7 linked regions of the Canis lupus familiaris genome follow. The protein of the gene in region 2 purifies or fractionates together with the protein of the main gene of each other region. This does not show direct contact. Links are inferred from orthologs where the notes say so. Each region holds a gene or a part of one and is shown on either strand. Other genes may lie near its edges. The genes, in order: SMARCA1, RBBP4, HAT1, ARID4A, SAP130, HMGXB4 and EED.

Region 1 (3,500 bases), on a different chromosome or scaffold from region 2:
ATGGTAACTCTACAGTGAAGAAACAAAGCAGACACCACCTCAACTAAGTGATCAAGGTTAATATTTCCTGTAATAGGACACAACATCATATATTCCCTGGTAAAATATACTGAAGACTTAATATCCCTGCCATGGCATTCTTGCCAAAGAATACATAATCTCAATCCAATCATGAGATAATGTCAAACAAACCCCAAAACTACAAAACAACTAACAAATACTCTTCAAAAGTGTAAAGATCATGAAAGACAAAAGAAGGTTGAGGACTAATTCAAATTAAGGAACCTAAAAAGACACAGCAAAAAAATGCAATGTGGGTCAAGAGAATAAGAAAAATGCACATAAAGAATACTTGCAAGACACATCTTATAAAGGACTGTTATCCAAAATATACAAAAAACTTATAATTCAACACTAAGAAAACAACCTGATTTTACAAATGGGCAAAAAACCTGAATAGATGTCTCACCAAAGAAGATATACAGATAGAAATAAATGAAAAGGTGCTCAACATCTTATGTCAGTGAAATGCAAATTAGAATGAGATACTACTACACACCTATTAGGCCAAATCCAGAACACTGAACACCAAATGCTAGTGAGGATATGGAGCAACAGGAATTCTCATTCATTGGTCATGGGAATGCAAAATGGTATGGCCACTTTGGAAGAAGGGTTAGCAGCTTCTTACAAAACTAAACATAAGCTTACCATATGCTCTAGCAGTCATGCTCCTTGGCATCTACCCAAAAGAGCTGAAAATTTATGTACACTCAAAAACCTGCACAAAGATTTTGACAGCTTTATTCAGAACTGCCAAAACTTACAGACAACCAAGATGTCTTCTGGTAGATGAATGAATAAATAAATAGTGATACATCCAGACAATGGAGTATTACTCAGTACTAAAAAAGAAATGAACTATGAAGCCATGAAAAAACACAAAGGCATCTTAAAGGCAAAGGACTAAATGAAAGAAGCCCATATGAAAAAGCTATGTACTATAGGACTCCAACTATACGATATTCTGGAAAAAGCAAAACTATGGAGGTAGTACAAAGATTAGTTGTTGCCAGAGGCTACAGAAGGAGGGAGAAATGAATAGGCAGAACACAGAGGGCTTTTAGGGGGCAGTGAATTTCCTCTGTATGATACTATAATGGTGGATACGTGTCATTACACATTTATCTGAATCCACAGAATGTACAATACAAAAAGTGAACCTTAACATAAAAGATGGACTTTGGATGATAATGATGTGTCAGTGTAGGTTCAAATGTAACAAATGTACCACTGTGATGTGAGATTGATAGTGTAGTAGGCGATGTTTGGGAGAGGTAGAATATGGGAACTCTGTATTTTTCACTTGATTTTGTGGTGAATCTAAAAGTGATCTTAAAAATAGAGATTTTTCAAATTGCAATGTGAGATCCTGGTTTGTATCCCCCAGAAAAGAGAAAGAACATTAAGGAGAAAATGTGTTAATTTCCTGGATTTGATCATTGTACTATGATTATGTAAATTGTTAATATTAAGGGAAGCTAGCTGAAAGATATATGAGAACTCTATATTTTTTGTACAAATAATTTCTAAATCTAAAAATTTTTAGTTATAGCCATAACTTGAAACAAAATAAATAAAACTCCTCTATTTCCTCAAAGGACTTTTGCTGTCCATGCCATATATTACTATACCCTCCATCTGACAGGAGAAAAATAAGTGCCCAAAGTTACTGAATTAGTGATACAGTTGGGATTTCAGCTTCAGAATTCAGGAACTCCACCACAGTACTGTACTGCTTCTTGAAAACAACAGTATCAAAAGCAGCAAAAATGATGATGAGCATGATGGCAATCATCATCATCCAGCTTAAGTTTAAGTTTATTAAACATAGCACTTGCAGGAGATTTGACCTACATCAAATTTCACTCCATAGCAGAGCATTGTAATAGGAGAGTGTCAGTAGGGTCTTTTAAATTTTATTATTGTTTTAATTTTATTTCTTTATATTTTTAAGTAATCCCTACACCCAACATGGGACTTGAACTCACAACCCCAAGATCAAGAGTCACCACTCTACAGACTGAGCCAGCCAGGCACCCCGTCAGTGTTTTTTAATAATGGTTATGGGAAGAAATGCTAATTTGAGAGGCTAATGGCTGAGAATAAAAAGTTACCTTCTGTTTTTCTCTATAATCTTCTCCTTCAAACTTGTACAAACTTTGTTCAGTATCCATTCTAAAATTTCTCAGAGAAGACTCTCCCATTTTCTGCAAGCGTTCATTCATCTCTGCAGTCTACAGTTCAATGCATTGAAATTAGAAAATTATTGCTGAATTACTTATAAAAAATCTGTGGGCTCTCTAGCTTTTTAAAAGTCAGGTTTGACATGAAATATCCAATCTGTTAATTTACACGGTAAGAATGCAATGCTAATACTAAATGAATATAAATTCTACTTGCTCCAAGTACTTTAAATATTTAAATAGGTATTCAAGTATTCTCAGGCTTTCTTTAAAGTCTTTTATCAGTGAAGATGTAGTCATATAATACCTATTTTTATGTGTATTTGAAATTGTCCAAAGTAATTTGTAAAAAAAGAAGGTAGGACTAGAATAGAACTATTTCAGAACCCCACCAAAAAAGGTAAATTCAACACAAAATTGCAATATTCTGAAATAGTTTATTAGACTTTAACAAATAATGCTTTAATATTTCATGAAATGTTCACAAAAGGTTTTCACTTAACACAATGTGTGAGAAAATAATTTCCAATCCAGTGCAAGAAAAAGGTTGCAAAAATGTAGTCCTGATATGTGACTAAACATGAAATTTATTTGGCTTTTAAGTAAATACCAACATTATTTTCAATAAACGTGAGATGTAAGATCACTCATTTTTAAACTCTAGTTCTTAGTCGTTCTTAACAAAAATTAAACTAAAAAACCCTAAACTACCTCTGGATATAAATCCACAAATCCTTAGAGAGAACATGAGTCATGTGAAACAACACAAATCCAATTAAGCATGCTGAAGTATGTTGATTTTAAAGCAATTCATCATGAAAACAAATGACATTTTAACTAACCTTCTTTTCTCCTCTTTCCAGAAGAGTTGTAATATCTTCATCTGTCAGCTCACTTTCTTTAGAAGCGAAAACATGGGTGGCTCCATGACGTATCATCTGCAACATTTCCTCTTTTGCCAGCTTGTTAGATTGCTGGTCAATGAGTCTTCCTAATAATAATAAAGATAATAATAATAGAAGTTTTGTATTCAATTATAATAGATAATAATATTAGAAGATAATAGATATATAATAATATAGATAATAATAATAGATATATAATATAATAGATAATATATATATAATAATAGATATATAATATAATAGATAATAATAATAGAAGTTTTGTATTCAATTATATTCCAGAGAAAGCATAGCATAATAGTTTTAATCAGACACTAGTACATTTAACTGTAAGTAAAGCTTTACAGTT
Region 2 (3,500 bases):
GGGAGAAGCAGGCTCCATGCACCGGGAGCCCTGATGTGGGATTCGATCCCGGGTCTCCAGAATCGCGCCCTGGGCCAAAGGCAGGCGCCAAACTGCTGCGCCACCCAGGGATCCCCGGATTCCCACATTTAAAGACTTGTTCTCATACATCCCCCTCTCCAAGAACCAATTTTAACCCCCCATAGGGGCAATTATCTCCCATGCTGAGAAAGAATGCATGCATGCACAGCAATAATAAATGGTGGACTTTGGGGGCACCTGGCTGGCTCAGTTGGTAGAGAACATGACTCTTCATCTTGGGGTTGCAAGTTCAAGCCCTATGTTGGGTACAGAGATTACTCAGAAATAAAATCTTAAAAATAAACAAAAATAAAGGGGCACCTGGCTGGCTCAGTCAGAAGAGCACATGACTCTTGATCTCAGGGTTGAGTTCAAGCCATACATTGGGTGTAGAGATTACATAAATAAAACTTAAAAAAAAAAAAAGAAAAGAAAAGAAAAGAAAGGAACAAATGGTGGATTTTGTCTTCTTTCAATTCTAGAAACTACCCTCCCCCCCAATTTAGGAGAGGAAGGTTTCTAGAAAAGACATAGAACCAAGTATGCTTTAACTATGTCTTCTGACATCTCAGTTTGCACCTGTATTACAAACTCGGGTTTTCCAGAGCTCAAAATATTACTACTAACTTAACAAACTAATTTATCAAACTTTACGCCCTTTTCAAGTAAATTCAAAGATATGAAAGATACTACCCATACATCATTCCTTCTTTCACTTTTAAGATTCCTACCTCCTTTCTCACTGTCGTAGTGTGAAGCATCAAACTGAGCATCATCGTTAGGGAGCTGCACACTGGCTATCACAAGATGGTTTTGTTCATCCGACGTGTGTGTTCCCAGGACAAGTCGATGAATGCTGAAGTCTTTCCCTTCTGGTCTGTAATAGCAGTATATGATCACTATTCAAATTATTAACACTAAGAGAGACAATGAGGTCAGTGATACACATGTATGGAAAAAGCACTATTACAACCAGGTTTCGAGAAGAAAATCTTATTAGAGGAAAGAAAATAATGTCAGGTAAACTAAATGTTCAAATATTTACTGAGTGCCTAATCAGTGGACAAACTGCACCAAATACTATGAAGTACAAAAATGATTAAGACGTGATTCATGCACTCAAAAAACCGGGGCAATTAGATAGTCATGTCCATAAATAACAAAAATATAAGCCAATAAATACATTAAAGGTACACAAGATGGGAATTTAGATAAGAAAGATTACTTCTGGAATTAAGGAAGCATCCGTGAAAGAGGCAGATGTCAAAATGAGATATAAAACCCAGAAGAGACAAGGGCTCTGGAAGAGAATTCCAAGGAAAGGGAATTGAGAAAGGGTAGGCTCACAAAATGTCAGATACCTAAGTACTTTACAAACTACGTATCACTTAAAGATGAATATATTTGAGGTTTATGAAAATGAGGCAACCTGCCTAAATAAGATCACATAACTACTAAGACTGACACCTCAATCTGACTTTGGATGTGGGAAATGAAGTCAGAGAGAAGGCTAAAAAATAGATTCTAGTATACTGAATGCCATCTTAAGGCATTCACAACTCTACTGTAGGGAAAACAAACAATCATGGAAAATTTCTAAGGGATCTAGCACCATCTGAATTACCACAGAAGAATTAACCCAACAGTGTAAAGCAGAGGTTCTTCAAGTGTGGTATCAGGACCGACAGCATTAGCATCATCTAGGAACTTCAGCTAGAAAGGCAAATTAAATTTTCAGATTCATCCCAGACATAATAAATTAGGAACTTGGGATTCGGGGTACAATGATCCACCTTATAATCCCTCCAGCTGATTATGATTCATGTTCAAGTTTAAGAACCTCTGTTCTAGGGGATCCCTGGGTGGCTCAGAGGTTTAGTGCCTGCCTTCGGTCTAGGGTGTGATCCTGGAGTCCCGGGATTGAGTCCCACATCAGGTTCCCTGCATGGAGCCTGCTTCTCCCTCTGCCTGTGTCTCTGCCTCTCTCTCTCAGTCTGTCTCTCATGAATTAAAACAAAACAAAACAAAACAAAACAAAAAACAAAAAAAACCTCTGTTCTAGAAATGATATTACCCAAATAGAATTCACTGGAGTTATCTATGCACTGTCAAGTGGAAAAAAGAGAAAAACTTAGGAAACATCAAACCAAAGTCAAGTATGATAAAGAGAAATAGGAATGATAGGCGAAAGCTAGGGCGGGACCTCTATGCAAAGAATATACTCAGTTTGGAACATGTGATGTTGGGGAAAACAGATACTCCAAAGAAGATACCAGTAGGCAGCTGTAAATTCAGGAAAAGCTCAGAGGTTGGGTCTAGAGATAACCAATAGGAATTCCTCTGTACAGAGGCAATATACATCTATATCCTACATAGAAAAATAGAGGAAAGAGAGCCATCAATGTAAAACTGAGAATGCCTGCATTTAGAAGGTTAAACAAAGAACCAGAGGAAATGAGCAAAGAAGGTTATAGAATTGTAATTGTATTTTTTTAAAAAAAGATATGAATACCACTACCGTCACTACCACAGACAAAAATTTAAACACTTGACATTAGGTATGCTTGTTTCTAAATAATCTTCATCTTAGAAAAAACAAATTAAAGAAATGTCTGGGTGGCTCAGTTGGTTAAGGGTCTGCCTTTGGCTCAGGTCATGATCTCAGGGTCCTGGGATGGATCCTCTCCCTGCTAAGCGGGGCGTCCGCTTCTCCCTCTCCCTCTGCCCCTTCCCCCTGTTCGTGCAAATGAAATGAGCTCTCTCTCTCACAAACAAATAAATAAAAGTCTTTATAAAAAAATTAGTATCGTTGGGGTGCCTGGGTGGCTCAGTTGGTTAAGCATCCAACTGGTGATTTCTGCTCAGATCATTACCTCATGGGTCATGGGATTCAGCCTTGCATGGGGCTTCACACTCAACAGGAATCTCCCCCTCAAAATAAAAAAATAAATCTTCATTATGTATAAGGTACAAAAAACAGAAGATAAAGAACAGGAATTTGGACCAAGGTCAAACCCTGCAAAAAGGTTTATTTACCTAGTTCCACTAAATGAGAAAACTACTAAGATAGATTTCAACGTTGGCGAATTTAGTTAATTCACTGCTTTCTAGGTTGAGATCATTACAGAATTATATAGGAAGATTTTTAAAAATACTGGCTCCCAAATGACTTAGTAGGTGGCCAATATATTTGGGATCCACTGATCCAGTATGATATAGCTCATGACCATGGAATCATCATTCAACTATTTTTCATCAAATACGCTGCCATCAGTTTCTTTTTTTAAAAGATTTTATTTATTCATAAGAGACACAGAGGCAGAGACACAGAGGGAGAAGCAGGCTCCCCTTAGGGAGCCCAATGCAGGACTCAATCCTGGATCTCGCCCTGAGCCAAAGGCAGACGCTCAACCACTGAGCTTCCCAGGCATCCCTGCCAC
Region 3 (3,500 bases), on a different chromosome or scaffold from region 2:
AAATTTTGGTATCACTGAAGCCAAAAGAAAAGCCCATAGTTTTTCTGTTTATGTTGTTTCACTGATATATTTATTGGGGGTAGAGGGAGATCAGGTATAAGGTAGATGGGAAAATGATGTCTGAACTTTCCAGAAGGGACCTCAACTGAGCCTGAAAAGAGGAGTTATATCTGGCAAGACAAAGATGGAGGAACAAGAGAAGGGGGTATCACAGGCAAAGAGCATAGTTAACATAAAGCGATATAACAAGAAGAAAGATATAGCACAGTTGGGAAATAACAAGAGGTTTAGTAATGCCAGAGCAAGAAGGAAAGTGGTAGAAAGTTGAGTCTACCAAGGTTGACAGGGTCCAAATTATGACGGGTTTGGTGTGCCATACTAAATTTTAATTCCTTTAAGAAAAAAAGCATAATTTTGAAAAATGTGTTCCTACTCTTTCTTTTAAAAGCCTAGCTGCTAAATAAATTCTCTAAAAGTTTAATACAGTCTAAACATACCGAATATTTCTAAACCATGTATTTATCTTAAAACCAGGAAGCCATTAAAGTGTAAAGGAGAAGATGCAAAGTTTCAGTTCAAATTAAACTGTTGTGGGACACCTGGGTGGCTCTGGAGGTTCAGCGTCTGCCTTTGGCTCAGGGCATGATCCCCAGGTCCTGGGATCGAGTCCTGCATCAGGCTCCCTGTGAGGAGCCTGCTTCTCCCTCTGCCTATGTCTCTGCCTCTCTGTCTCTAATGAATAAAATAAATATTTAAAAAAAAAATTAAGTTGGTGAAGGTTAGTGGCCAGGAACCTTTTTTTTAAAAAAGATTCATTTATTTTGAGAGAGAGAGGGGAAGAGAGAGCATGCTCTGGAGCATGGGAGGGAGGGGCAGAGGAAGAGGGAAAGAGAGAGAATCTTAAGTAGACTTCCCACAGGGAGCCTGATGAGGGGCTCAATCACACAACCCTGAGATCATGACCTGAGCCGAAATCAAGAGTCGGACACCCAACTGACTGAGCCACACAGGTGCCCCAGGACACTTGATATACAGTGTTGGGAATACAGGAGGAAAATCTACATTGAAGAATTAAATGAGATCACCCAGGTAGAATAAGTAAAATAAAGACTGGATAAAGAACTTTGGGGAAGAATCATCTTTAGGGAACATACAGAAGAGGAAAAGCATCTCTAAAAAGATGACCACAGTGCTAAATGAAAAAATCAGGAACTGTGGTACCTTAGAAGCAAGGGAGGAGAGGTTAACAGCATCATAAACCAGTCCTTATTATTCATCTCATATTCTTTTCTTTTTTTTCTTTTCTTTTGAAAGCACACCCACGTGCAACTGGGGGGAGGGGCAAAGGGAGAGACACCCAAGCAGACTCTAGCTGAGTGCCAACCCTGACATGAGACTTGATCCCAGGATCCTAAGATCATGACCTGAGCCAAAATGAACAGTCAGATGCTCAACCAAATGAGCTACCGAGGAGCCCCTCACATACTTTCATAATCCAAATCCTATCCATTCTTCAAGACTTAGATCAAATGCAGCTCCGTACCATGAAAAACTCTGATTCCCTTACATACATAAATATAATAAACTAAATTCCCTCCTCTGAACTGCCAGAATATTTTTTCTGTACCTATTTTAGGATATTTACTACTTTAAAATTCAAATATATAGAAATATATATATACTTCACATGAATTAACTATTTTGCCATAGCAAACATTTTCTTAAAAAGCAAAAATAAGATGATACCTTCCATTCTATTCTTCTTGTTACACTTAATATAGCCATAAAATCAACTATCTTCCCATTCTATTAATGAGGAAATTAAACTGCCGTTAAGTCACAGAGCGTAACCAGATCTTAACCCAGGCAGGCAACTTGCCTTCAGAGCCTGTACTCTCAACCACTGCCACTTCCCACACATGTATTCTTAATGTACTTGCAATGTTTAAGTTATGTACTTAAAAAAAGAGAGAGAGAAAGAAAACTTCAAAACTGTAACATTTTCCTTTATAGAATAAAAATACCTTATTTATTTTGAACTTCTGTTGTGCTTCTATTGCCATGGCTTCACTGAATCCTTGCATCAACTTTTCCCGGGAAAAACAAGGCAAATCTTGACAAAGCTTCACAAGCACAAAGTCTCTTAATTTCACATAGCTTTTGGATGGATCTTCCGCTGAAGAAAAGGCAGAATAACATTTCCCTTATCCAACATAATTCATCATTTGCAATCTCAAAAAAATCCTAGGCTAGGAAAACAAATATTCTTAAAAGAATTATATAAGGCAAAAGTTATAATGAGAAGTTATTCCTTATCAATCAAACAACAGCATCTTTGCCAAAATAAATTGTAGGTGCAATCCTTTTGAAAAGACCTACAGCATTTGTGAAATTAGAGCCACTTTCAAATGTAAACTTTTTGACAGGTGTGATCTACCGTGTGCATCTCAGTTTTATTTACAATTAAAGCAACTGTATAAATGAAAGATTAAAGTTTGGATAATCCATTACTATTCTCCGATAGCTAAGCCTTCTAAAGCTCAATTTATAACTCCCTTACTTTAATCCAATAATCTTTATAGTCTGCTATACTTCTTTTACCTAATTAAAACAAAGCTCTTTGGGATCCCTGGGTGGCTCAGCGGCTGAGTGCCGCCTTCAGCCCAGGGCGTGATCCTGGAGACCCAGGATCGAGTCCCACGTCAGGCTCCCTGCATGGAGCCTGCTTCTTCCTCTGCCTGTGTCTCTCCCCCACCCCTGTGTCTCTCATGAATAAAAAAAAAAAATCTTTAAAAAAAGAATTTAGAAGCATATAATTTAAAAAAATTGTGAAAGCAAAGGTTCTTGTTTTTAAGATTTTACTTATTTATTCATGAGAGACAGAGAGAGAGAGAGAGGCAGAGACACAAGCAGAGGGAGAAGTAGGCTCCATGCAGGGAGCCTGATGTGGGACGCGATCCGGGGAATCCAGGATCATGCCCTGGGCCGAAGGTGGCACTCAACTGCTGAGCCACCGAGGCTGCCCTACAAATTTTTTAAAAATTTTATTTATTTAAGATTTTATTATTTATTCATGAGAGAAAGAGAGAGAGAGAGAGAGAGGCAGAGACACAGGCAGAGGCAGAAGCAGGCCCCACACAGGGAGCCCGACGCGGGACTTGATCCGGGGTCTCCAAGATAATGCCCTGAGCTGAAGGCAACGCTAAACCGCTGAGCCACTCAGGCTGCCCCAATTTTTTTTTTCAAAGAATAAAATGACAATATGATTTTGATCCTTTCTTTAATGGATCTGAATCGCATGGATCTTCCTTTATGTTCCTCTCTTACATTAGACTATGTAGTGGACAAGGAAAACATCAAAACATGATGGAGAGAAAGAAGACTACACAGAGAAAATCAGTTTGAGTCTCAGTTCTATCATTCACAGATGTAGGACTATGAGCAAGTCACCTCACTTCTCTGAGCTCTTGCTTTATGATCAGTAGAAGGCTTGAAAGAAT
Region 4 (3,500 bases), on a different chromosome or scaffold from region 2:
TCTTCGACAGGAATGTCACAGATGTGCTGCTGTGATAGTACGTGATTTCCATTTGTCACATTACTGGTGATGTTCACTTTGATCGTTTGACAAACGTATCTGCCAAACACTAGGATATTATTTAGTTGCTGTTGATAATTCCTACTGCTTCTCTATCCTCATTTCCCATCATTCCTCCTCTATACTCTACATCTGTATTGTCCAGCCACTGGCCACATGTGACTACTGAGAACTTCATATATGGTTCAAAGGTTTTGCTTTGAAATGCCTTTTATCTTGTATATATTACATGCTCCCTCCATGGGATATGTATCTACTGTAACCTAGAATTTTCCATTCAGACTTGTATGAAGGCATGTTTTGGAGATAAAACTTTGTCAAAATTAATGATGTTTATTTCTATTATGTTCTACGATTTAATTTTATTCCTTATTGTACAGAAGTCTTTCTCATGTAATCTAATTCATACTGATTTTACTAAGTTCCTTGTTTGTTTCCATAAGAATTTTATTATTTGCCTGTTTTAAAAATACCATACTATTCAGAAATCAGCTTTTCTAGATTAAACCATTCCACTCAGAAATGTAAACTTAATCTGCTTTTACCACTAGAGCAAATATTACTTTCCTATTATTCAAGATTCTCAAATACATTCCTCAATATTAAATCACTTTACATAAGAAATACAAATGAAATAAGCATTAAAAACAGCTATCTCAGCTCTAAATAAAATTGGCAAGCCTCTTCAGATTAAAAATTAGTGGAAAAATTGCTATTTCCAGAACATAATAAATCAAACATTACAAAACAATTATTAAATAAATTCTACCCCCCAACATGGGGCTTGAACTCACAAGTCTTGAGATTAAGAGTCACGTATCTACCAAGTAAGCCAGCCAGACATCCCTAAACCAAATTTATTTTTAAACTGACACAAATGATGAAGCCAACAAAATGCTGAAAATATTAGCATTATGCTAAAGCCAGCATTGGAAAGCACCTACCTGTTCCGTTCTTTTCACTTTTGGCTACAGCACTCGTTCGCTTTGGGGTACGCTTTTGCTTTTTTGCCACTAACCCACTATTTCCCTCACTTGGCCTTTTCTGACCTAAAACAAGGGAAAAGAGACAACTTAAAAAATATGTATCTATTTTGGATATGGTTAGTTTATTAAAGGGAGATATGGAAATTATTTACATGATGAAAGATTTCACAACTTCAGTAGAATGGGCACCTTCACATGATGCCATTTCAATAACGATTTATTCAGTCTACATACTTTCTGAGAATGTCACCATCTCTAAATAAAAAATAATCCTTGTTATCTGGAACAACTTGGGTGCCTCCATATTCTGGGAGAAGAACTTTTATCTCCAACTTTCATGCTAACTACTACTGCTGCTTGCAATACTTCTCCTTGAGATTTTTCTGGAAGGATAAGGCCTCCTTTGGTTACAGTTTCAGCTGAACTCCTTTCAACTAAAACTGAGTCAGAGAGGAGAAGAAACTTCCTAAACTCTTGTTCTGCCACAACTCCAGCTACCTCAGTTCATACTCTGCTCTTGAGTCTCTGCCATGGCAAGAACAGCTGTAATTATGCACCTGTCTACTCCACTTGTATTTCTATATATACATCTTTTTTTTTTTAAGGGAGAGGGGGCGGTAGAAAGGAAAGAATGAATATGAGGAAGGGGAGAAGGGAGGGAACTTTTTAGCTCAGGATTTCCTAAAATTCTTAACTTACTAATTTGAGGGTTGAACATACGAGGCTGATATTCTTCCAAGAAAGTCCTTACCCTTCTCTCTGTTCTCTCTTTCTTGAACAATCAGACTACAGGTACTGGAGGCAACACTAGCTTCAAACCCGTTTGCTGATTCCCTCTCACAGAGACCTTCTTGAGATTCTTCAGCAATGCTCTCAACTTCAATGGTTATGTCACTCTCACTTTTTATACTCCGAGACTCATCCTGGCTGAGGGTTAGTGGTGAAGCCACTGAAAAACTATGCTGTACTACGGGAGGGAGGGCTGGCGGCACAGAAACAAGAGAGTTAGACTCAGAGCTTTCCACCACCACATCTTCAATGCTGCTCTTCTCCTTCTCATCCAGATCATCCAAATCGACCTCATGGCAAACCAGAGTCTCAGGCCCAATCAGAGGCATTGCATCCTCCTCTTCTTTCAGTGGAGTATTTACAGTTTCTTCAGCCGGACTGTCAAATTTTTCACTAGTTAATTCTTGAATGCGTTGGCTTGACTCTGCAATTAATGATGGCATTCCTTCATTTTCTATTTCAAAATGTTGTTCAAAATTTAAATTTTTCATTCCCTCAGATGCAACACAGTCACTGGTCTTTTCTTGAGAGATGCTGTTTGTCATTTCCATTCCATTCTCAATTCTTATTTTTTTCTCTGGTGATGACTGTCCCAGTATTTTCCGTTTCAGCTTTTTTTCTTTCGCACATTGGTCAGTGTCATCTTCGGTAGTAGAAGAAAAGTTTTTACTGTCTAACGAAGAAAATTCTAGACTTTGAGCTTCTATATGAGGTTCACTTCCTGCTTCATCTTGGCTAAACGATGAAATCTTTATAAGTTCTAAAGAAAGATCTTTTGTTTTGCTTCGTCTTCCCTTTCCTTTGGGAGACTTTTCAGCTTCTTTCTTAACTTCTTCTACATGTTCCACTTTATTTCCAAAAATCTGTACTATTTGTTCATTCTCTCCAACTTCTAAATTCAGTGTTTCTAAAGGCTGCATTTGCGTCCTTTCATTTTCTTTTAAAATATGTGCAGCAATCTTTGGATTTTCTTCATCTAGTTTATCATCATTTAAATTCTCATTTTTTTCTAGTTCTTTAATATCAGGAGAAAGTTCTTCATTCATCAAATTCTTTTCTAAAAGGTCTTCTGTTTCACTATCAGATGAGCAAGAGTCTGCAAAAAAAAAAAAAATTACATTACACAGGTTTTGAATTACCAATGTAATTTTAGAATAAAAATTCTACCGAAGAGAACTCTTAATCATGTACCTCTGAATACCTCCCTGTAGAAATTTCTGATAAATCATACATTTGTGCCAAAAATGGGAGTGGGGGGTATGTCAAACTCCATGTAAAAATACATTGAAAATATTACTGTCTCAATTCTATAAAAGAGCTATTTTGCATTTTTCACTAGTATCATATTTAGGTGATAGTTATCCTTAGAAAAATCAAAGGACTGAGCCACATGAGTGGCTTAGTCAGTTGAGTGTCCCACCCTTGATTTTGGATCAGATCATGACCTTGGTCTTGGGGTCATGAGATTAAGCGCCCCCACACACACTGAGAACCACACTCAGCAGGGAGTCTGCTTGGGATTCTCTCTCTTCTTCTGCTCCTCCCACTACATGCACTCTAAAATAAATAAATCTAAAAGAAAAATCAAAGGACTAATACTGAGATATTAAGTTAATATATTAAGTGCTTTGATCTAACAGGTACTGATTAATAAATGTGATGGGC
Region 5 (3,500 bases), on a different chromosome or scaffold from region 2:
GAAACTGGATGCTGCTTTTTTTAACTGCAAGTATGTAGAAGCAAAGCACATTGAATAGCACAGTGTGGTGCCACTGCCTCCATTTAGGCCAAGGCTCCAGCACTGTAACCACTGGTGAGGGTCCACTGCCTTTGTATCGTCAGTGCGAAGTCAACATGGTACAACAGGCAAATGATGTCTCAGTATTTTCACAAAAGTAGTTTTGACCTAACACAGACACTCTTGTGAACTTCACTCTGAGAAAAACTGAATTATGTTATGACCAAGTAAACCTGGTTTTGTACTTATGAGCCTGATTTTCCCAAAGATGATTTTACAATCACCAATAGAAGGCTACAATTTCTGATCAAGTAGTTGAGAAAACTCATTCAGTTTAATATTTGACTACCTATTAGAACTTAATTGTAAGAATAAATTCATCTTACGGCTATGTTACTTGAGTAACTGTTATCAATAAACTTTAAGAATAATCCATGTTTGTATTTCTGACTAAGAAAGAAATTAATAATGAAGACCATTTTGGACTATCATAGCTTTGAGGAGTTCCTCATTATACAGGACAATCCTTAGACCATATTAAAATTTGAACTGCTTTAAGTTTACACATACCTTTAAGTTTACATACACACACAAACATACACGCACTTGTTGAAATACAACTATAATTCGCATACTAGACCATGCTCAAAATGTGTCTTATTTCTGTTGTCCTGTCACTTTAATAAGATGATTCTAGAAATATTTTTTGTTAATGGTAACAAAAATCTCTTACCAAACGTATATTTCACCATCACATTTTAACAATTTGTGCAGTCTTTACCTCGAGGTAAATGGGAAGCTCCGATGTGAAGAGGGGGACCAGGAGCATTGCTGCGGATAATAGACATCTGTACATTTGTGGTCATGATATGATGCAGGTTACTGGGATGCCCCTGCAAGAGACAGAACGTAATATTATTTTCATGTGCTTGGTTTTAGCCATTGATGCTTAGCCATTGCTTCTAGGTCAGCTGCCTCCAACTGTGGGTTGTTCCTTTTAGGCAGTGAGAATCCCAAGGGAAAGGATATACAACATATGCATGATGACCTATGCCAGCAGGCATGTAGTGACTGTGAGGGCCCTCCAACGCCTCAAGGCTAGCTGGCTAGCTTGTGTTAGGTCTCTAACAGATGGACACATATGACTGCCCACTTTGGGACACTCTCATCTTCAATATTAGTCTTTCACACTTGTTTTCTCTGCCTTGGCCAAAAGCTTATTTTTCCCTATTCTATTTCCTTTACATGCTACTGCATTCATCCATCCTTTATGCTATGCAGGACTTCTAAGTAAATGGCAATTAGCACCCAGCAGGTACTCCCCTATGAATTCTTCAGCTCCCTGCTTAGATGTCCCCTCTCACATGTTCCCAGGACTGACACCATTCCCAGGTGGGGGTTCCGGTACTTCTGGAAGTACTCAGCAGTATGACAAAAGGAAGAAAACATAGTATGTCTTCTTGGAATACCAACTTTTTCTTGAAAACTTGAAGGGAAAGGTTTTAGATTCAGGTTTTTTTACTCAGTAATTCAAAATATTAAAAAAAATCATATACATATTGTGGAGTAGGAGAATTTCAGGAAAAAATTAAAGTTAAATCATGAAACTACAAAATAAGTGTTCATGACTGACAAGATGCTTGACGGAACCTGCTAGGCGCCCAGGATACATATTCATTCTCCTCAGAGAAAATTCTAGAGAAGCACTACTGCCATGAGGCTATTCTTAATCCCACAAAACTGGACTCTGAGCACTCAAGGACACAGACTATCTTATCTAGATTTTTATCTCACACCAAAGGCAGTGCCTCACACACAGCAGATGCTTCATACATACTAGCCAAATGACAAACACCACTGTGCAGTGCATGTTAGTTTTACTCCCTGTAAACAGCCTTCTCTCTCAAACCTACTATCTCCCCCTTGCAGAGATCAGTGACCATTTAATTTTTTACTTAGTACAGTGCCCAATGTACTGCTGGCATTCAATAAATAATGATCAACAGTTTGGCATCTCTGTTTGAAAATCAGCAAATTAAGAGGAAAAAAACCTGTTGTCCACTGATTGTTGCCACAGGAATGGCTGAAGCTTGAGGGATGCTACTCTCCATGGTAACGGTAACCTGCCCTGGAACCTTGGGGGGAAGTGACAAGGTAGAAGGTGGAGCAGGAGCAATGGGACGGCTAGGCATGGTGGGCTTCGGGGGCGGCTGCAAACAGAAAACCACACGAAACATATCAATAGCTTTTTATGAGTGATGCATTCATTCTATAGTTAAAAGTACACAAATCAAACCTGGAGAACACCAGGAGAGATCTAGAAGCCTTATATATTTTATCTCTTAGCATCACAGCTTTTCCATTGAAGTACCGGCATTTCCATTTTACAGATGAGGAAACATACAAAGCAAGGCTATGTCACCTGCTCAAAGCCACACAGACCGTAAAAATTGGAACTGGGACCAAGACCCAGATCGTATGGCTCACAGCCCACATTCTTTCTTCTATACAATTCTGCATCCTAAGTTTGGGTGGAAGTAAATAAAACTCCCAGTAACTGAAACATAGCTACGAAGTAAAATACAAGGCAATATTTTCGGATACTCCCGTATTACCAAGTTTTAAAACAAAATTTTGGAGAAGAGTGCCACTCCAAGATAAAATCTGAGTTAGCATGCCCATAACTTGAATAAAATCAATGTCAAAATAATGGACACTAGAAAAGATCCTGTGATGCCAACTGCCCAGCGGCACAAGACTAGGCACTGCAGAATAGCAGAGCTCTAAGTGACAGAGAAGAGCTATACTGGTGGGTCAAAAAGAAAACACTAAGATCCTGGATATGGCCTAAGACTTTGTGAAAATTGTCAGGAAGATTATTAGCCAGTCTTTTTAGCTGTGGTTTAATGTGAAATTTAAAACCTCTCCATTACCTTCATAAGTCCCTCCGAAAAGGAGAGTGGCACTGCTGGCGTCAGATGTGCTGGTGGGGCTGTCACTGTGACAGGTGTGCCCGATGCAACAGCATGGTGTGTAGACAACATCTGCACCTGTGGATAGGGCCTTACCACAACAGGCTCTTGCTTCTCTTCTCGGGACTGTAGGGAGCTGCTGGAACCCATGTGCTCCCTGGCAGTGACTTCAGCCTCTCGACTAGATTCATCATTGACTAGTAAGGACAGAAAGGGAGAAATAGCATGTCATATGCTTCCAATATTAATTAATATTAATGAATTACACAGCACGTACAAGAGTGGCATTGGCATACAGGTAAATTTCAGGGTTGATAAAGTGGCTATTTCTTTGTGAGATTTTCTTAAGGAGAATTTGGGCATTAGGTTCCCCAACAGATATCAAACCCAAGAGCCACACCCATGGAACACAGGCCTTTTTTTGGATATTGTAGCTTTTCCACTCCTATGAACAAAGGGCCTGATAACTATCTAAAATGAACTCAAACA
Region 6 (3,500 bases), on a different chromosome or scaffold from region 2:
AGACAGATGTAAAAATGAAATATAAAACTGGGAAAAAAATCAGAATAGTGGTTGGCTCCAGGGGTAAGGACTGACTGGGAAGGGGTATGAGAAAGCTGTTTCAGATGATAGTAATGTCTGTATCTTGACAGAGGTTTGGTCACGTTTGTGCGCATTTGTCGAAACTCACCAAATGGTATATAAACATGTGTACGTTTGTGCATAAGTAAATTCTAGTGGAAAAAAAAAAAAGCCCTGAATTCAGATATTAAACCTAAATTAATGATATGCAGGCTGAAGTCTTTAGGGGTGTGTATGGTATCTATAATTCACATTATAGATGTATAATTTACATTATATTTATAATACATTATAAAAGTTGGATTGATAGATGGACAGGTGTGTGATGAAGCAAAGAGCAAAACAGTAATTACAGAATCTCATTGGGTGGCATATGGTGTTCACTGTACAATTTCAAAGCTTTTTGTTTGGAAAGTTTCATGATGAAGTGTTGAGAAAAATGATTATAAGCATATAGTTTCGGGGCAGCCCAGGTGGCTCAGCAGTTTAGCGCCGCCTTCAGCCCAGGACCTGATTCTGGAGACCCAGGATCGAGTCCCATGTCAGGCTCCCTGCATGGAGCCTGCTTCTCCCTCTGCCTGTGTCTCTGCCTCTCTCTCTCTTTGTATCTCTCATGAATAAACAGATAAAATCTTAAAACAAAAAAAAGCATATAGTTTTGAGTTTGGGTTGACTGGAAGGACACAGGGAACACAGAAGCAGGTGGAGGAGGAGCTGCAGGTTTGGGAATCTGGATGATGAGCATAATTAGTGACACACGGGTATGAAGAACCCAAGGCATCTAGGTGGAAATATTTATCAGGCAGTTAGAAACGCAGGATTAGAGTTCACTTGTTTTGCTAGGCTACTTCGTAAATGTCTTTCTGCTTTCTTGTGTTCCCTTCCACTGAAATCCTTTCTCTTCTATAGGCTTTCTCTGACCACCCTGCCCTCCTCTATTCAGTGCTGTAAGATTAGTTATGGCTCTATCATATATTACTAGAATGGAAATTCTCAGGAGAAATAACAATCTTACACAGAATATGTATGATTTAACGAAGCAATTTTCAAATAAACAAATGAATATAAACCTGACCTAATAATTGACTATCCAGTTCTTTATGCTTACACTCATTCTTGGCTTGGAAGGTATAGTTTTGCTTTTAATTTCTGAGATATACATACTTAAAAGGCACTCTTTGGAGTACCTGGGTGGTAGAGTCAATTAGGCATCTGCCTCTTGGTTTCAGCTCACATCATGATCTCAGGGTGTTGAGATCGAGCTCTGCACTGGGCTAAGCACAGAGCCTGCTTAGTTTCTCTCTTCTTCTCCCTCTACTCCTGCCGTGCGCACGTGCTCTCTCTAAAATAAAGAAATCTTAGGAAAAAAAAAGATAACTCTTTGTAGTGGGAAACATAATTTACACCTCAATTACAGACTGAAGTGAAACTGCCATTTCCAAATTCTTAATATACTTGACTTTTTCCTTCTTAATATCGCCTCTTTAATCTGACATTTCAGTTTGCATTACTCTAAACAAAGGAAGAAAATGGTTGTCCTTAGGTGGAAAAACTAAGTTTTTTGACCTTCTTCTTTCCACAAGTCTGAATTTCTAAATTTCTATAAAATTAATACATTACTTTGATAACAGGGGAAACAGCTTATTTTTTTTTTAACAGAAAACCTTTAGTAACATAGTCTCAGCCCTGAAAGTACAACTGCTAGATTTCTTGAGCTGCAGGAAAGTTCAACCAAGGTCGCTGATTTCTCCTTCCTATCTCCTCAGCAATCAGTGTGCTCCTGAAGGTCTGGAGCTATGTCCTGCCCAGCTTGGCACCTCTCTACACCACCTAGAGCACTGGGCTGGGTAAACAGCAAGCACTTGCCTGTTGAAAGAACATACATTTGACACTAAAAATAATACCAGAAAGTGGCCCACACCAGTTAGCGGAAGGCCATTAATTCATTCCATTAACCTGGGTCATTATTTTCCTAATTTTGAAAATGTGTTTCCCAAAATGAACTAGAAAATACCTTTTCATCTCTCTCAACTGCCCCAGGCAGACAGTGCTGCCCAGTGAAAGGAACTGGGTTCGGCTTCTTCCGTGAATTCCAATTTCAACGGTATCCCTAAACCTATGCTTGGCACGATGGGAGACCACCATTATCAAAAAACCCATGAAAAATTAAGATTGCTCCTGTTTTTGAACTGGAGAGACTTGGTCCCTGGCAATATCTTACACCTCATGTCATCCCATGAGATTGGCCTCACCACACTCCCTGCGGTTCACCTCAGCTGCCTAATTCCAAGTCCACTTACTACTATCATCACTCACTCCCCAACACTTAAAAAAATGGTTTACCTTTTCTCCTCTCTCTCTCTCTCTGTCTTTCTCCTCTTTTTTCTTTTTTTTCTCACCGTGCCCATCCGTGTGGAGGCTGGGCAGGGGAGGGGGAGGGGCAGCAGCTCCAGTGTGTGGGACGCTGGGAGGAGGAGGGCCAGGTGTGACCTCTCCTGCTGGGGCAGCTGCAAGGCCTGAACTTCTCTTGGACTTGGAGTGCCGCTTCTCTTTATGCTTCTCCTTGTCCTTCTTCTTTTTGCTCTTCTTGGACTTCTTTTTCTTCTTGATTTCCCGGTAAGAGTCATCAATGACTAACTCCCCGGCCTCTAGCTCCCCACCAGAGGAGGAGTCCGATTCTACCAGAATAGGTTCAAGTCCTGAAAGATCAAGGTTAGCACTGTGGGGCTCTGGGAACTGGGAGGCATCTGACCCACAGCCTTCGGGGCCAGGAGAGGAATGTGGGTCTGAGGAGGACTTGTGCTTCTTCCGGGCTGTTTTCAGAAAGCTCTGTAACTCGTGTCCTAGGAGTAAAGCACCTTGCTCATCCCGAGCTGATTTCTTAGAGGATTTTTTCACAGTAGCTTGTTGAGAGGGGTACTGAAAAGGCTCCTCATCAACTGAGCTGCTTCCCTTCTCCTTTGGTGAGAGAATTAGTTTCATCTTTAAGCCATCAGGCTCACGAAGGGTCAGTGTCTCTGTGTTAACATACAGCGGTTTCATTTTTTTTGATTTGTGGGAACCACCGTCCTCCAGGGACAGGTCCCCACTGCTTCCACTTACTTTCTTCCTGTGGTGTTCTTTTTTACTCTCTGAATGACTTGAAGAACTAGAGGACTTTTCCCCTGTCTTTTTGGAGGGTTTGGAGCCTGCTGCCAGTGGGGAAGTGATGGCTTTCAACAGGTCCATGGCTGTATCGGCAGATTGCGGGCTGGACTTTTTCTTTTTCTTCTGTGACGATTCCAAAGACGAAATGTCTGGAAATAATCAAGAGAAGTAATGTCCACATGACAAACCAACTTCCAACAAGTTTCCTCTCTCACCAAAAACACTCAACTAATGTGAGGAAGAGGCTAAGAGAAATGATTTGAGGGGAGTCCCTTCAACTGATTCCTGATGAT
Region 7 (3,145 bases), on a different chromosome or scaffold from region 2:
GGCCCTGCTTTTGAACCATTCATATGTTAGTGAAACGGGCAGAGCTGCAACATGTGGCTGTGTGGGCTGTGTCCTGTAAAACTCCGGAAAGCTCTCTACCAACAGGAATTTCTCAGTCCAGGTTCTGTTGAAATACTGGGCTACACAATCTTTATTTTTAATGGGAGGGGCCATCCTGTATATTGATTGTAGGATGTAGCAGCATCTCTGGCCTCTACCTGCTAAAGGCCAGGGACATTGCCAAATGTTCCTTAATTGGCACACCACTGACCTATAATATGAATAGTGCCCACTGTGTTGCAGTTTTTTTTCAGCAAAGATACTATGTTACAGAATAAGAAAAGTATAACTTAGTCTATTTCAGTCGTATCCCCATATCAATGTCTTGATTTAAACCACTGAGTTTATTACCTTCTATATAATATGATTTTTAAGGCCTCTAAGCAGGGGCCATACTGAAAAGCATATTTTTGTATAGAGTTTTTATAATTTTATCGTTTATAATTTTATAAATTATAATTTTATATTTTATAACATATAATTTTATATATATATTTTTTAATTTTATATTTTATATTTTATAACAAATGTTATAAAACACTCAAGTCTCTGGATGCCAGAGTATTGAGAGCTGAATTTGGTTTGGAAAAGAAATTCTGACTTCAAAATGGATATTCCAGATAATATAATGCTTTTTAATATTGTCAAATTCTGTTGTAAGATGACCTCTTATCCTCAAGTGTGGACCTTGACTCTGTAAATATAAATAAATGTATATCACTGTATCTACTAGATGGATAACCAGGTCTTAAGACTGTCAATTCTAAAAAGATAATAGAGAAAAGAAGGCTTTGTTTTAAGTTTTAAATTTCAGTTCTATATGTAACAATTTTTTCTCATTTCTGTCTTCTAAAGTCTTGTGAAAATGCCATTGTGTGCTGGAAACCTGGCAAAATGGAAGATGATATAGATAAAATTAAACCCAGTGAGTCTAATGTGACTATTCTTGGGCGATTCGATTACAGCCAGTGTGACATTTGGTACATGAGGTTTTCTATGGATTTCTGGCAAAAGGTAGCAACATATTTCTACATTTTAAAATTACTTCAGACCATTGTAATTTCACTTTTCTCTGTTGTGCATCCATGTTCAGTTTCCTCTAAGAATCTACCTTGATATCTTGTAGTGATTGATTACTTTAGCCGTTGATGTTATTTATTCTATCTTTATAGAGTAGGCTCTCCACACCATTTGCAGTGCGTATTATAAATGCAGTTGACAGGTGTCAATCTTGGCAATGGTGCTTACTTTCCATAACATCTGTTACTAAGATTTAATGTTATGGTGATTGAATGTTAACTTTTTAAATAGCTTTTTTGTAGAAAAGCTTAGAGAAATTTTAGAGATTGGTGTTATGAATTTGTAGTAACAAATTATCTGGGTATTTATTTCTATAAGAAAACTTTGGAGGAGCTGTCTGTAGCTTTTGCTACAATGTAAATTGTAAAGTCCTTCATAAATTTGCCTTCTAATTTGCTCAGGATGCCTCTGAAGTATAAGTTGCTGTTATCCATTTACGAATCAGAAGTATAAGATACAAAGAAATAGAAATAATCAGGAGTATAGCCATAGTCTGGAACTGAGGTTTTTATGAAATATGAATATATCTTAGGAATATTTGAATGCTCTATAGCCTATTTTAATAATTTGGTGTTTTTAAAAATACGTTTATACAGATGCTTGCATTGGGCAATCAGGTTGGCAAACTTTATGTTTGGGATTTAGAAGTGGAAGATCCTCATAAAGCTAAGTAAGTATTTAGAAATTTTTATTGATAATTTCTGTCTTTTTCTCAAACGCTATGCCAATATTTAATTTATTCATGAGAGACACAGAGAGGCAGAGACACATAGAGGGAGAAGGAGGCTCCGTGCTTGGAGCCTGATTGGGACTCAATCCCAGGACTCCGGGATCACAACCTGGGACGCTCAACCATTGAGCCACCCATGGATCCCTTGAAGTATCATTCTTAAATCATTTTTAACATTTATATGACTCAGTTATTTAAAAATATTTTTTATTCTCATAATGGCTGTTTATCATGAGTACTTTGGTGACAAGTTACACCTTTCTTTTTATTAATTTAAAATATACCCAAATGTTATGAAATTAGAGATTGAGCTCTTAGTGATATTTTAAATGCTTTCCATATGACTTGGAACATCTGTTTGTTTTCTTATTCGTTGGTTTAATTTGCTACTGACAATATTTATGAATGGCTTTTAACCTATTGTCTTGTTTTTTCCTAGATGTACAACACTGACTCATCATAAATGTGGTGCTGCTATTCGACAAACCAGTTTTAGCAGGGATAGCAGTATTCTTATAGCTGTTTGTGATGATGCCAGTATTTGGCGCTGGGACCGACTTCGATAAAATATTTTTTCCTTATCAAAATTAGAGTGTGTTTTCTGTGTATAATAGAATTAATGTATCTTGCTAGTAAGGGCACATAGAGCATTTAGAGTTGTCTTTCAGCATTCAATCAGGCTGAGCTGAATGTAGTGATGTTTACATTGTTTACATTCTTTGTACTGTCTTCTGCTCAGACTCTACTGCTTTTAATAAAAATTTATTTTTGTAAAGCTGTGTGTTTATTTTCATTGTGATAAAAAGAAATGTTGAAAGTAATAAAAGTATTCCCTTTCTTTTTTGTAATGATCATTTTTGTAGTCCTTTTAACTGAAGAAAGCTATATAATGTAGTGATTAAGTGTAAGCTCTAGGATTAAGCGGACTTTAGTCTTGGCTCTGCAAACATGAGCTGAGCTAAGTAATTTAACATCTACCTCAGTTTCTTCTTGTGTGAAACAGGGATAAGAATACCTACCTCATAGGGTTATTAAGGATCAAATGATTAAATAAGTGAAGCAGCTGGAATAGTACTCAGATGTACCCTAAATACATTGTTGCTTCTTTTTTATAAAGATTTCATTCATTCATTCATTTATTCGAGAGAGATCACAAGCAGGGGGAGTGGTAGAGGGAGAAGCAGACTCCTTGCTGAGCAAGGATCCTAAAGTGGGACTTGATCCCAGGATCCTGGGATCATGACCTGAGCCAAAGGCAGACGCTGAACTGACTGA

The links.
Region 1: the proteins of RBBP4 (region 2) and SMARCA1 purify together in Homo sapiens (affinity purification with mass spectrometry; 5 studies listed by BioGRID and IntAct, with this or other methods). This does not show direct contact. The link is inferred for Canis lupus familiaris from reciprocal best matches to the Homo sapiens genes RBBP4 and SMARCA1.
Region 3: the proteins of RBBP4 (region 2) and HAT1 purify together in Homo sapiens (affinity purification with mass spectrometry; 5 studies listed by BioGRID and IntAct, with this or other methods). This does not show direct contact. The link is inferred for Canis lupus familiaris from reciprocal best matches to the Homo sapiens genes RBBP4 and HAT1.
Region 4: the proteins of RBBP4 (region 2) and ARID4A purify together in Homo sapiens (co-immunoprecipitation; 4 studies listed by BioGRID and IntAct, with this or other methods). This does not show direct contact. The link is inferred for Canis lupus familiaris from reciprocal best matches to the Homo sapiens genes RBBP4 and ARID4A.
Region 5: the proteins of RBBP4 (region 2) and SAP130 purify together in Homo sapiens (co-immunoprecipitation; 3 studies listed by BioGRID and IntAct, with this or other methods). This does not show direct contact. The link is inferred for Canis lupus familiaris from reciprocal best matches to the Homo sapiens genes RBBP4 and SAP130.
Region 6: the proteins of RBBP4 (region 2) and HMGXB4 purify together in Homo sapiens (affinity purification with mass spectrometry; 4 studies listed by BioGRID and IntAct, with this or other methods). This does not show direct contact. The link is inferred for Canis lupus familiaris from reciprocal best matches to the Homo sapiens genes RBBP4 and HMGXB4.
Region 7: the proteins of RBBP4 (region 2) and EED purify together in Homo sapiens (affinity purification with mass spectrometry; 10 studies listed by BioGRID and IntAct, with this or other methods). This does not show direct contact. The link is inferred for Canis lupus familiaris from reciprocal best matches to the Homo sapiens genes RBBP4 and EED.

The regions. Positions count from the first base shown.
Region 1 is NC_049260.1:101,600,178-101,603,677, forward strand, and holds part of SMARCA1 (probable global transcription activator SNF2L1), read right to left. Parts: intron 3,238-3,500; coding exon 3,089-3,237; intron 2,298-3,088; coding exon 2,178-2,297; intron 1-2,177.
Region 2 is NC_049223.1:68,048,063-68,051,562, forward strand, and holds part of RBBP4 (histone-binding protein RBBP4), read right to left. Parts: intron 938-3,500; coding exon 792-937; intron 1-791. UniProt on the Homo sapiens protein: Core histone-binding subunit that may target chromatin assembly factors, chromatin remodeling factors and histone deacetylases to their histone substrates in a manner that is regulated by nucleosomal DNA.
Region 3 is NC_049257.1:16,673,778-16,677,277, reverse strand, and holds part of HAT1 (histone acetyltransferase type B catalytic subunit), read right to left. Parts: intron 2,177-3,500; coding exon 2,025-2,176; intron 1-2,024. UniProt on the Homo sapiens protein: Histone acetyltransferase that plays a role in different biological processes including cell cycle progression, glucose metabolism, histone production or DNA damage repair. Coordinates histone production and acetylation via H4 promoter binding.
Region 4 is NC_049229.1:34,013,709-34,017,208, reverse strand, and holds part of ARID4A (AT-rich interactive domain-containing protein 4A), read right to left. Parts: intron 2,932-3,500; coding exon 1,798-2,931; intron 1,551-1,797; exon of another isoform or gene 1,123-1,550; intron 1,110-1,122; coding exon 1,005-1,109; intron 1-1,004.
Region 5 is NC_049240.1:23,957,439-23,960,938, reverse strand, and holds part of SAP130 (histone deacetylase complex subunit SAP130), read right to left. Parts: intron 3,209-3,500; coding exon 2,973-3,208; intron 2,250-2,972; coding exon 2,091-2,249; intron 933-2,090; coding exon 821-932; intron 1-820. UniProt on the Homo sapiens protein: Acts as a transcriptional repressor. May function in the assembly and/or enzymatic activity of the mSin3A corepressor complex or in mediating interactions between the complex and other regulatory complexes.
Region 6 is NC_049231.1:29,846,124-29,849,623, forward strand, and holds part of HMGXB4 (HMG domain-containing protein 4), read right to left. Parts: intron 3,357-3,500; coding exon 2,404-3,356; intron 1-2,403. UniProt on the Homo sapiens protein: Negatively regulates Wnt/beta-catenin signaling during development.
Region 7 is NC_049242.1:13,357,256-13,360,400, reverse strand, and holds the end of EED (polycomb protein EED), read left to right. Parts: intron 1-915; coding exon 916-1,074; intron 1,075-1,736; coding exon 1,737-1,810; intron 1,811-2,309; coding exon 2,310-2,436; 3' UTR 2,437-2,645; downstream 2,646-3,145. UniProt on the Homo sapiens protein: Polycomb group (PcG) protein. Component of the PRC2/EED-EZH2 complex, which methylates 'Lys-9' and 'Lys-27' of histone H3, leading to transcriptional repression of the affected target gene.